Linked DNA regions of Sus scrofa. Each later gene encodes a partner of the first gene's protein in a complex. Links are inferred from orthologs where the notes say so. Each region holds a gene or a part of one and is shown on either strand. Other genes may lie near its edges.

The links.
Region 2: the proteins of KEAP1 (region 1) and NFE2L2 are in contact, whole or in part, in a crystal structure (PDB 3WN7), measured with the Mus musculus proteins. The link is inferred for Sus scrofa from reciprocal best matches to the Homo sapiens genes KEAP1 and NFE2L2. Residues at the interface, in NP_001103775.1 of Mus musculus: Tyr334, Ser363, Gly364, Arg380, Asn382, Pro384, Asp385, Gly386, Asn387, Asn414, Arg415, Ser431, Gly433, Cys434, His436, Ile461, Phe478, Gly480, Arg483, Ser508, Gly509, Tyr525, Gln530, Ser555, Ala556, Tyr572, Phe577, Ser602, Gly603; in NP_035032.1 of Mus musculus: Leu19, Ile22, Leu23, Arg25, Gln26, Asp27, Ile28, Asp29, Leu30, Gly31, Val32, Val36, Phe37, Phe39.

Annotation. Positions count from the first base shown.
Region 1 is NC_010444.4:69,286,399-69,290,878, forward strand, and holds the start of KEAP1 (kelch-like ECH-associated protein 1), read right to left. Parts: upstream 3,112-4,480; 5' UTR 3,001-3,111; intron 2,995-3,000; exon of another isoform or gene 2,865-2,994; intron 1,349-2,864; 5' UTR 1,302-1,348; coding exon 663-1,301; intron 1-662. UniProt on the Homo sapiens protein: Substrate-specific adapter of a BCR (BTB-CUL3-RBX1) E3 ubiquitin ligase complex that regulates the response to oxidative stress by targeting NFE2L2/NRF2 for ubiquitination.
Region 2 is NC_010457.5:82,974,041-82,977,851, reverse strand, and holds part of NFE2L2 (nuclear factor erythroid 2-related factor 2), read left to right. Parts: coding exon 1-163; intron 164-689; coding exon 690-779; intron 780-1,642; coding exon 1,643-1,834; intron 1,835-2,491; coding exon 2,492-3,721; 3' UTR 3,722-3,811.

The DNA.
Region 1 (4,480 bases):
AACTCCAAAGGTGGTGCAGAGTAAAGGAAAGAAATGGAGACCAGGGTAGTGTCCACCCCCAGCTGATCCCAGCCACAGGAAGACTTTGAAAATGTCCTGGAAGGCATTCCAAAGCACACACACCTGATAGCTGGGAAGATTCAGTGATTTAAAGGATGGAAATCACTTAGAACAGAGGCTGGTCCACAGTAAGTGCTCGATAAGCACTTATTTTTTCTGTTCACAACTTCCTCCACTTAAAAATGAAAACGAAACAAAGAATAGTGTAAGAACAACACTATGTGGACCAAAGAAAACATGTCTAAGGGTCACACTTGCGGTCTACAGCACATCATGGGTGTTCAATAAATATTTGCTGACGGCCTGAAATGTCGGGCCCTACTCAGTGCACCCCAGTGTGGAAATGCCAACGTACTCACTGCACCCTGTCCCCACCTTTGACCCCAGAGAAACCAGGAGCCCAGGGACCTATGAAGGCCTCACTTTCTTGAGCTGTTCCCCAGAGTTGCCCAAGATGTGTAGAATAAGAATTCAGAACCCCATTTTTCTCCAGCTCCTTGCCTTGACCTTTCACATCTCAAAAAGAAATGAGCTCCCATCTGTCCTTGGTTCTTCAGACACTGCTCCCAAGCCCTGGATCCATGTCAATTGCCCTCACTCACCTCCCCAAAGTGCATGTAGATGTACTCTCGGGCACGCTGGTGTAGCTCGGCACAGCCAATCTGCTCGGCGAAGTTGGCAATGCCAATGGCATTGCTGGGGTCCAGCTGCTGCACCAGGAAGTCGCTGCAGGCACGGACCACACTGTCAATCTGGTACATGACAGCACCATTCATGACATGGAGCACACACTTCTCACCCATGGAGATGGAGGCCGTGTAAGCGAACTCGATGAGGCGCTCCATGACCTTAGGGTGGATCCCCTCAATGGACACTACCTCCATGCCCTGCTCCCGCAGCCCGTTGGTGAACATAGCCTTGAAGACAGGGCTGGATGAAGCCAGCACCACCTTGTGGGCCATGAACTGGGCAGCTGGTGCATCCTCGTACTTGACCTGCAGCGTAACATCGCATAGCTGTTGGCTGAGCCGCAGTTCATTCATGATGCCAAAGGCTTGCTTGGTGTGGTCCTCCAGCGTGTAGCTAAAGGTGCGGTTGCCGTGCTGCGAGGGGGTCACCTCAGCCTTGCACTCCGTGGAGGCGTACATCACCGTGTCCCCTGCCCCTTCGGGGCGCTGTGACCTCAGGGGCAGAAATTGGGTGTGTGCCCCAGCCCCACTAGGCCTGGGTTCCGGTTGCATGGGGTTCCAGATGACAAGGGACAACACCACCACTGGCACTCAGAGGCCTGGAGGAGGGAGAGCACAGGGCTGCGGGCAGGGCCTGGGGCCAAGCCTTTTCTAAAATAAAGCAACTCCTAGACCAGTTTTCCTTCCCAAGCCCAGGTGAAGCAGTGTCCATCTGTGCTAACTGCCCAATGGCCTCACCAGCCCAAGGGTCCACCTTATATCATAGGTCAGATGATGTCCCTCCCCTGCCAGAATCCCCCCCACACTGCCCCCCGCCAAGCCCTGTGGCACAGAGTAAAACCAAACTCTTCAATGGCTGGCAAAGCCCTTCACAATCAGCTCCTGTCCACCTGTCCCCTTTGCTCATTCTGTTCCAGTTATCTGATGGTCCTTCCCTTCCTAGGGCATATCCATCTCCTTCCTTCATTCACCTCACCAACATTTATTGAGCATCTACTGTGGACCACTACCAGGCACAGTTCTAGACACCAGGGACACAGCAGTGAGTAAGACTGACATACACTGTGCTCCCTTAGAGCTGACACTTGGGAATGGAGGAGCCATAAGTAAAATAAGCAAGACTTGAGCAAAAATTGAGGCTTTGAAGGAAATGACAGCACATTGTGATAGTGTGACTTGAGGGCAGTTACTTTAACTCAGGTATTCCAGGCCTCTGTTGGTGCTGAGACAAGAGGGGTGAACATATGAAGGAGGTGGGGGTGGGATGAGAGTTTTCTAGGCAGAGAGAGAGCAAGTGCAAAGGCTCAGAGGCAGAATGACAGGCAATCTGAAAAATCGGTAAGGAGTATAATGAGCATAATGACTATTGAAGGGTTTCCAAGAAACCTGTGGAGACTCGACAGCCAGGGCAGGAGCTGTGTTTTGAAAAGTCCTTCAGGGAGGAGGGAATCTGCAAGAGGCTCCCCAAGTTTCTCTAACTCATCTTTCCCTGGGCTCAACTCAGTCACCTCCTCCCTGCTTTATTTCCATCACAGCACTTGTCAAGAATTGAAATGAGCTCCTTTGCTTCCTCCTTGAAGGATGGCCCATCCGTCTGGCCCTGAGCCCCCAGGTTTCTGAGGACAGGTAGCCCTGTGTAGGTCAGGGCTGTGCCCATCCTCTCCTGTGCCTCTCTGCCTGGGATCTGGCACCGTGCAGGGGTCAATGAGCTATGGCTGGCTGACTGCCCACTCCAGTGTGCCTGCCAGATCACCCTCCTCCACCGGGCCATGGCCGCCTCTCCCCAGCTGAGGCCCAGGCCGGCCTCTTGGTCATGGGCCAATCGGCCAACGGTGCCCCCTGGGCCCTGGGCACTCCCCCGCCACCCCCATGAAGCGGTAAGTGGGAGACTGCGCATGTCCTGCCTGAGCTGCCAAGGCCTGGAAAAGGGAGGAAGTGACCCCGCCGCCGCCTCTCCACTGCCAGCCCCAGGGCGAAGACCAAGCCCCCCAACGTCCCGGAATCCCCCGGCCTTGGTCGGAGCGGCGCTCCCTGGGCCCTTGGCTCGGTTTGCGTCGCTCTCGGGCCACCCCGCGAGTTGCGCCGTCCAACAAAAGGCTCCGACTCGAACCGCACCCTTCTGGCCTCCGCGGAGCCGCGGGAACCCCGAGGCGACCGGCCCGCAACGCGCAGTTCTCCGGCCCCCAGGCACGGCCGCAGGGCACTCACGGCCCACGGTACCCGCCGCCCGGGCGCAGGCCGCCTCACTCACCCCGCCATGGCCGCTCTCGGGCTCCGCCTCCGTCGCCCAGGCCCAGGCGCCTCCATCGCAGCGTGCAGGGGGGAGGTGCGGAACGCGCGCAGGTCACCATGACTAAGCAGAGCCGGGCGCCGGCCGTGTCAGAATAAAAGTCCCGGCGGCCCCCGGCCTCCTCGAGCGGCGGGGACAGCGGAGGGGCCGCTCCCCACCCCACCCCGCCCACGCTAGCTGTCGCCCAGCTGCGCAGCCTCAGCGCGGCGACCACAGCGGTCTTTGCGACGGGGCCAATGACCGCAGCGCTCGGCGCTCCCAAACTCGTGGTAGGAGCCGCAGAGAATCAGAGCCCCAGGTTCGAGGCCCAGCCCGTCCCCGCACCAGGGATCAGTGGGCATCCCTCACCACCGCCGACCTGCCGCCGCGCTCACCTGGGTCGTCGCGTAGCCTCTGCCGCTCTCCCTACGAGGTGGGGAAGCCTGGGCTCCGCGGCGGCTCTGGGGCACCGTGGTGCCACCCGCTCACCGAGCTTCCGGGAAGCCCTAAGGGCCTCGGCCCGGCCGGGGGCGGCTCTCGACTAATTTTCCTTGTGAGAGGCCCGCGGGCGCTTCCGCCGTCGCGGGGGGGCCTTGGTTCTGGGGTGGCTCAGCCTTCGGGGTCGCGGCCGTCGAGTGGGGGGGCAGCCTCAGGACGCCCGGGAAGGAGGCGGGGAGAGGGCGGAGAGGGCGCGGCGGGGAAGGAGTCTCGATTCCCCGCCCTTCCCGCAGGTGCCTCGGCGCCCGTGGGCATAGAGCTGGGCATCGGGCGAGGGATCACCGCGAAGCCTATCTGGCCGGTACCCCCCTCGCAGTCCCCTCCATCCGCCTAGTTTTGTCGATTTCTGTGCGTGTCTGCTGTCCACGACCTGCTCTTCTTTGTCCCTTTAACTTCACAGGGCGCGGGCCTCACATTAAGGCAGCGCAGGATCCAGTTAGAATTGTCTACCCACTTGAATTTTCATTGTCTTTATTTTTTAGTTATCGCCAATCTGAAAGAGCGTGAAGCTCTCGGGAAGAGATACGAACTCCAGCTCTGCCACTCTAGCTCTGTGCGGGTGGGCCTGTAGCTTAATTAACCTCTCCAGGCTTCAGTTTCCTCGCTATAAGAATGTTAACAATAAAAGCACCTACCTGCTAGGTTATCTGGAATACTAAATAAGAACACTTGCGCCCAATAAAATATGGATTTTTATTCTTCATGGCAAGTGATACTGATTTACCACTTATGCTGTCTGTGATATAAAGGTAACTTCAATAAATGCATTAAAAATTTTTTTAAGAGTACATCTATATGAAAACTTAAGTGAGAAGTTCCTGTCCTGGCTCAGCGGAACCGAATCTGACTAGCACCCATGAGGACGCAGGTTCGATCCCTGGCCTTGGTCAGTGGGTTGCAGATCCTGGGTTGTCTTGAGCTGTGGTGTAGGTCACAGATGCCACTCAGATCTGACATTGCTGTG
Region 2 (3,811 bases), on another chromosome or scaffold:
ACAGAGAAAACTTGAGAAGGAAAGACAAGAACAACTCCAAAAGGAGCAAGAGAAAGCCTTTTTCGCTCAGTTACAACTAGATGAAGAGACAGGCGAATTCCTCCCAATTCAGCCAGCACAACACATCCCGTCAGAAACCAGTGGATCTGCCGACTATTCCCAGGTACAGGGTACTTGGTTCTTGGGAAGGTGCATGGCAGGGTTTAAAGAACAAATAGCGACTCAGGAGTTAAAACATCTGAATTTGAGTTCCAGCTTTGCCTTTTACTGTTAACAACCTTAATAAGTCAACTTCCCAACCTTGGCCTCCTGATGAAGTTCAAGCCTTGACTGACCTACCTCAGAGTATAAGGATTAGGACATAAATTACATGAAGAGAGATTTATAAACTGTAAAAACATCACGTAATTTGAACATTTGAGATATTGAAACATTTAATCAACACAGTATATGAATTAATTGCCATTATCCTACTTTATCTACAGATGAGCAATCGGAGCTCAAAGAGGTTAAATGACCTGCCCAGAAATTGGGGGAGCCAAGATTTGAAACCAAATAGTCTGGTTTGATTGTCTGCTCTTTATTAAAATGACTTTTGCAATAAGAGAAATGTCTGATTAACTAGACTGTAAACATTGTATGAACACTGAACAATTTTTTCTTCCTGTATATCTTTCCCTTTTATGCAGGTAGCCCACATTCCCAAACCAGATGCTTTGTATTTTGTTGACTGCATGCAGCTTTTGGCAGAGACATTCCCATTTGTAGATGACAATGAGGTATTAACATTTGGTTAACAGCAAATCTTCACACCTTATATATCCTATATTGATCCCTTTGATATGTCTTCATGAATGAAAAACAGTATTTTAGGAGCAAATTTTATCATGGAAACTTTGGCCTATAGGTAACTTTACAATTGGGGAAAAAACAAAAACAAAAACCACATAGTACAAAAAACGTTTACTCCTGCATAGCCAGAAGCATGGATCAGCAGAAACATTTGTTATAGTACTTAAAAATAAATTCCCATGTGTAAAAAGCAAGCTTACCAGGTAGTAAACCAAGACTTGTTCAATTAAGTTTTAATAAATTTATTGTTTAAACACTATACTAGGTATTACATAGAAAAATACACATTAAATTCTAAAGACTGTTCTTTTTTGAAGTTTATCTTCAGTGTACAGGATAAAGCCATTAAGCTAGTAAAATGAGTAAATCTGGAGTCAGTTGGACAAGGAAAAAAATGTGTTTCATTATCTAGAAATAGAAGTCACCATTATTAGGGAGTTCCCTTTGTGGCTTAGTGGTTTAAGAACCTGATATAATCTCCATGGGGATGTGGGTTTGGTCCCTGGCCTTGGCCAGTGGGTTAAGGATTTTGCCTTGCTGCAACAGTGTAGGTGTCAGATGTGGCTGGGATCCTGTGTTGCTGTGGCTATGTAGGCTGGCAGCAGTGGCTCCACTTTGACCCCTAGTCTGGGAACTTCCATATGCTGCAGGTGTGGCCATAAAATGGTAAAATAAAACAGTCACCATTATTAGTAGATAAATATCGAACTGTAGCCTATTCCAGTTTAAGATGGGATACCCATTTTGCTGGGTGGCAGATTCATGTAGATAAATGCCTTCTCAATTTTAGGTTTCTTCGGCTACATTTCAATCACTTGTTCCTGATATTCCCAGTCACGTCGAAAGCCCAGTCTTCATTGCTCCTAACCAGGCTCAGTCCCCTGAAACTCTTGTCAGTCAGTTAGCCACTACTGAGGTAGACGACATGCAACAGGATATTGAGCAAGTTTGGGAGGAGCTATTATCCATTCCAGAATTACAGGTAACTAAGATCTAACATAATAAATACCAAAGATGCTATTTTATATTTAGTCCCTTCAGTAATCCCAGTTATTTATATACTGCCTACTTAAATGAAGGATTAGAGTGAGCTTTTAGTCCTGAGAGCTGCCTATGCTCACTTCAGTGAACTTTTGTTAGTTCAATGGACTGGTATCTTGAGGACAAATAAAGTTACAGACCTGAAGTCTGGGAGTTCCTGTTGTGGCTCAGCAGTAACGAACCCAAAAGGTATCCATGAGAATGTGGGTTCAATCCCTGGCCATGACCAGTGGGTTAAGGATCCGATGTTTCCATGAACTGTGGTGTAGGTCGCAGTCGAGGCTCAGATCCCATGTAGCTGTAGCTGTGGCATAGGCTGGCAGCTGCAGCTCCAGTTGGACCCCTAGCCTGGGAACTTCCATGTGCCACAGGTGAGGCCCTAAAAAAGCAAAAGTAATTAATTAACCTGAAGTCTGATCTGGGAACTCTGAAAATACATATGCTTAGGCACAAACATCTGTTGGAAATGGGAATTATTTCTGAATTACAGAGAAGTTTGGAGACAATATAGGTGGGGGGTTTTCCATTGGGTATGGATTATCAGCTATTAAAAATATTTAACCTTGATTTACGTAGTGTAAACTTCTTTTCCACACAGTGTCTTAATATTCAAAATGACAACCTTGCTGAGACTAGCACGGTTCCAAGTCCAGAAACCAAACCGACAGAAATTGACAACTATCATTTCTATTCACCAAATCCCTCACTGGAAAAAGAAGTAGGTAACTGCAGTCCACATTTTCTCAGCGCTTTCGAGGATTCCTTCAGCAGCATCCTCTCCACAGAAGACTCAAGCCAGATGACAGTGAACTCATTAAATTCATACGCAACAGGAAACACAGATTTTGGTGATGAATTTTATTCTGCTTTCATAGCAGAGCCCAGTACCAGCAACAGCATGCCCTCCTCTGCTACTTTAAGCCAGTCACTGTCTGAACTTCTGTATGGGCCCATTGATCTCTCTGATCTATCTCTTTGTAAAGCCTTCAACCAAGACCACCGTGAAAGCACAACAGCAGAATTCAATGATTCTGACTCTGGCATTTCACTAAACCCAAGTCCCAGCATGGCATCACCAGAACACTCAGTGGAATCTTCTATCTATGGAGACACACTGCTTGGCTTCAGTGATTCTGAAATGGAAGAGTTAGATAGTGCCCCTGGAAGCGTTAAACAAAATAGTCCTAAAACACAGCCTGTACAACCTTCTGGGGATACAGTCCAACCCCTGTCACCACCTCAGGGTAATAGTGCTCCAGTGTGTGATGCCCAGTCTGAAAACACACCAAAGAAAGAAGTGCCTATAAGTCCCGGTCATCGAAAAACCCCATTCACAAAAGACAAACATTCAAGCCGCTTGGAGGCTCATCTCACAAGAGATGAGCTAAGGGCAAAAGCTCTGCATATCCCATTCCCTGTAGAAAAAATTATTAACCTCCCAGTTGATGACTTCAATGAAATGATGTCCAAGGAGCAATTCAATGAGGCTCAGCTTGCATTAATTCGAGATATACGTAGGAGGGGTAAGAATAAAGTGGCTGCTCAAAATTGCAGAAAAAGAAAACTGGAAAACATAGTGGAACTGGAGCAAGATTTAGATCATTTAAAAGATGAAAAAGAAAAATTGCTCAAAGAAAAAGGAGAAAACGACAAAAGTCTCCATCTACTGAAAAAACAACTCAGCACCTTGTACCTTGAAGTCTTCAGTATGTTACGTGATGAAGATGGAAAGCCTTACTCTCCAAGTGAGTACTCCCTGCAGCAAACAAGAGATGGCAATGTATTCCTTGTTCCCAAAAGTAAGAAGCCAGATGTGAAGAAAAACTAGATTTGGGCATATCTGACCTTTTCTGAGCTAGTGGATTTTTTTTTTTTAATACTAAAAGCTCCTACTGTGATGTGAAATGCAGAAATATAC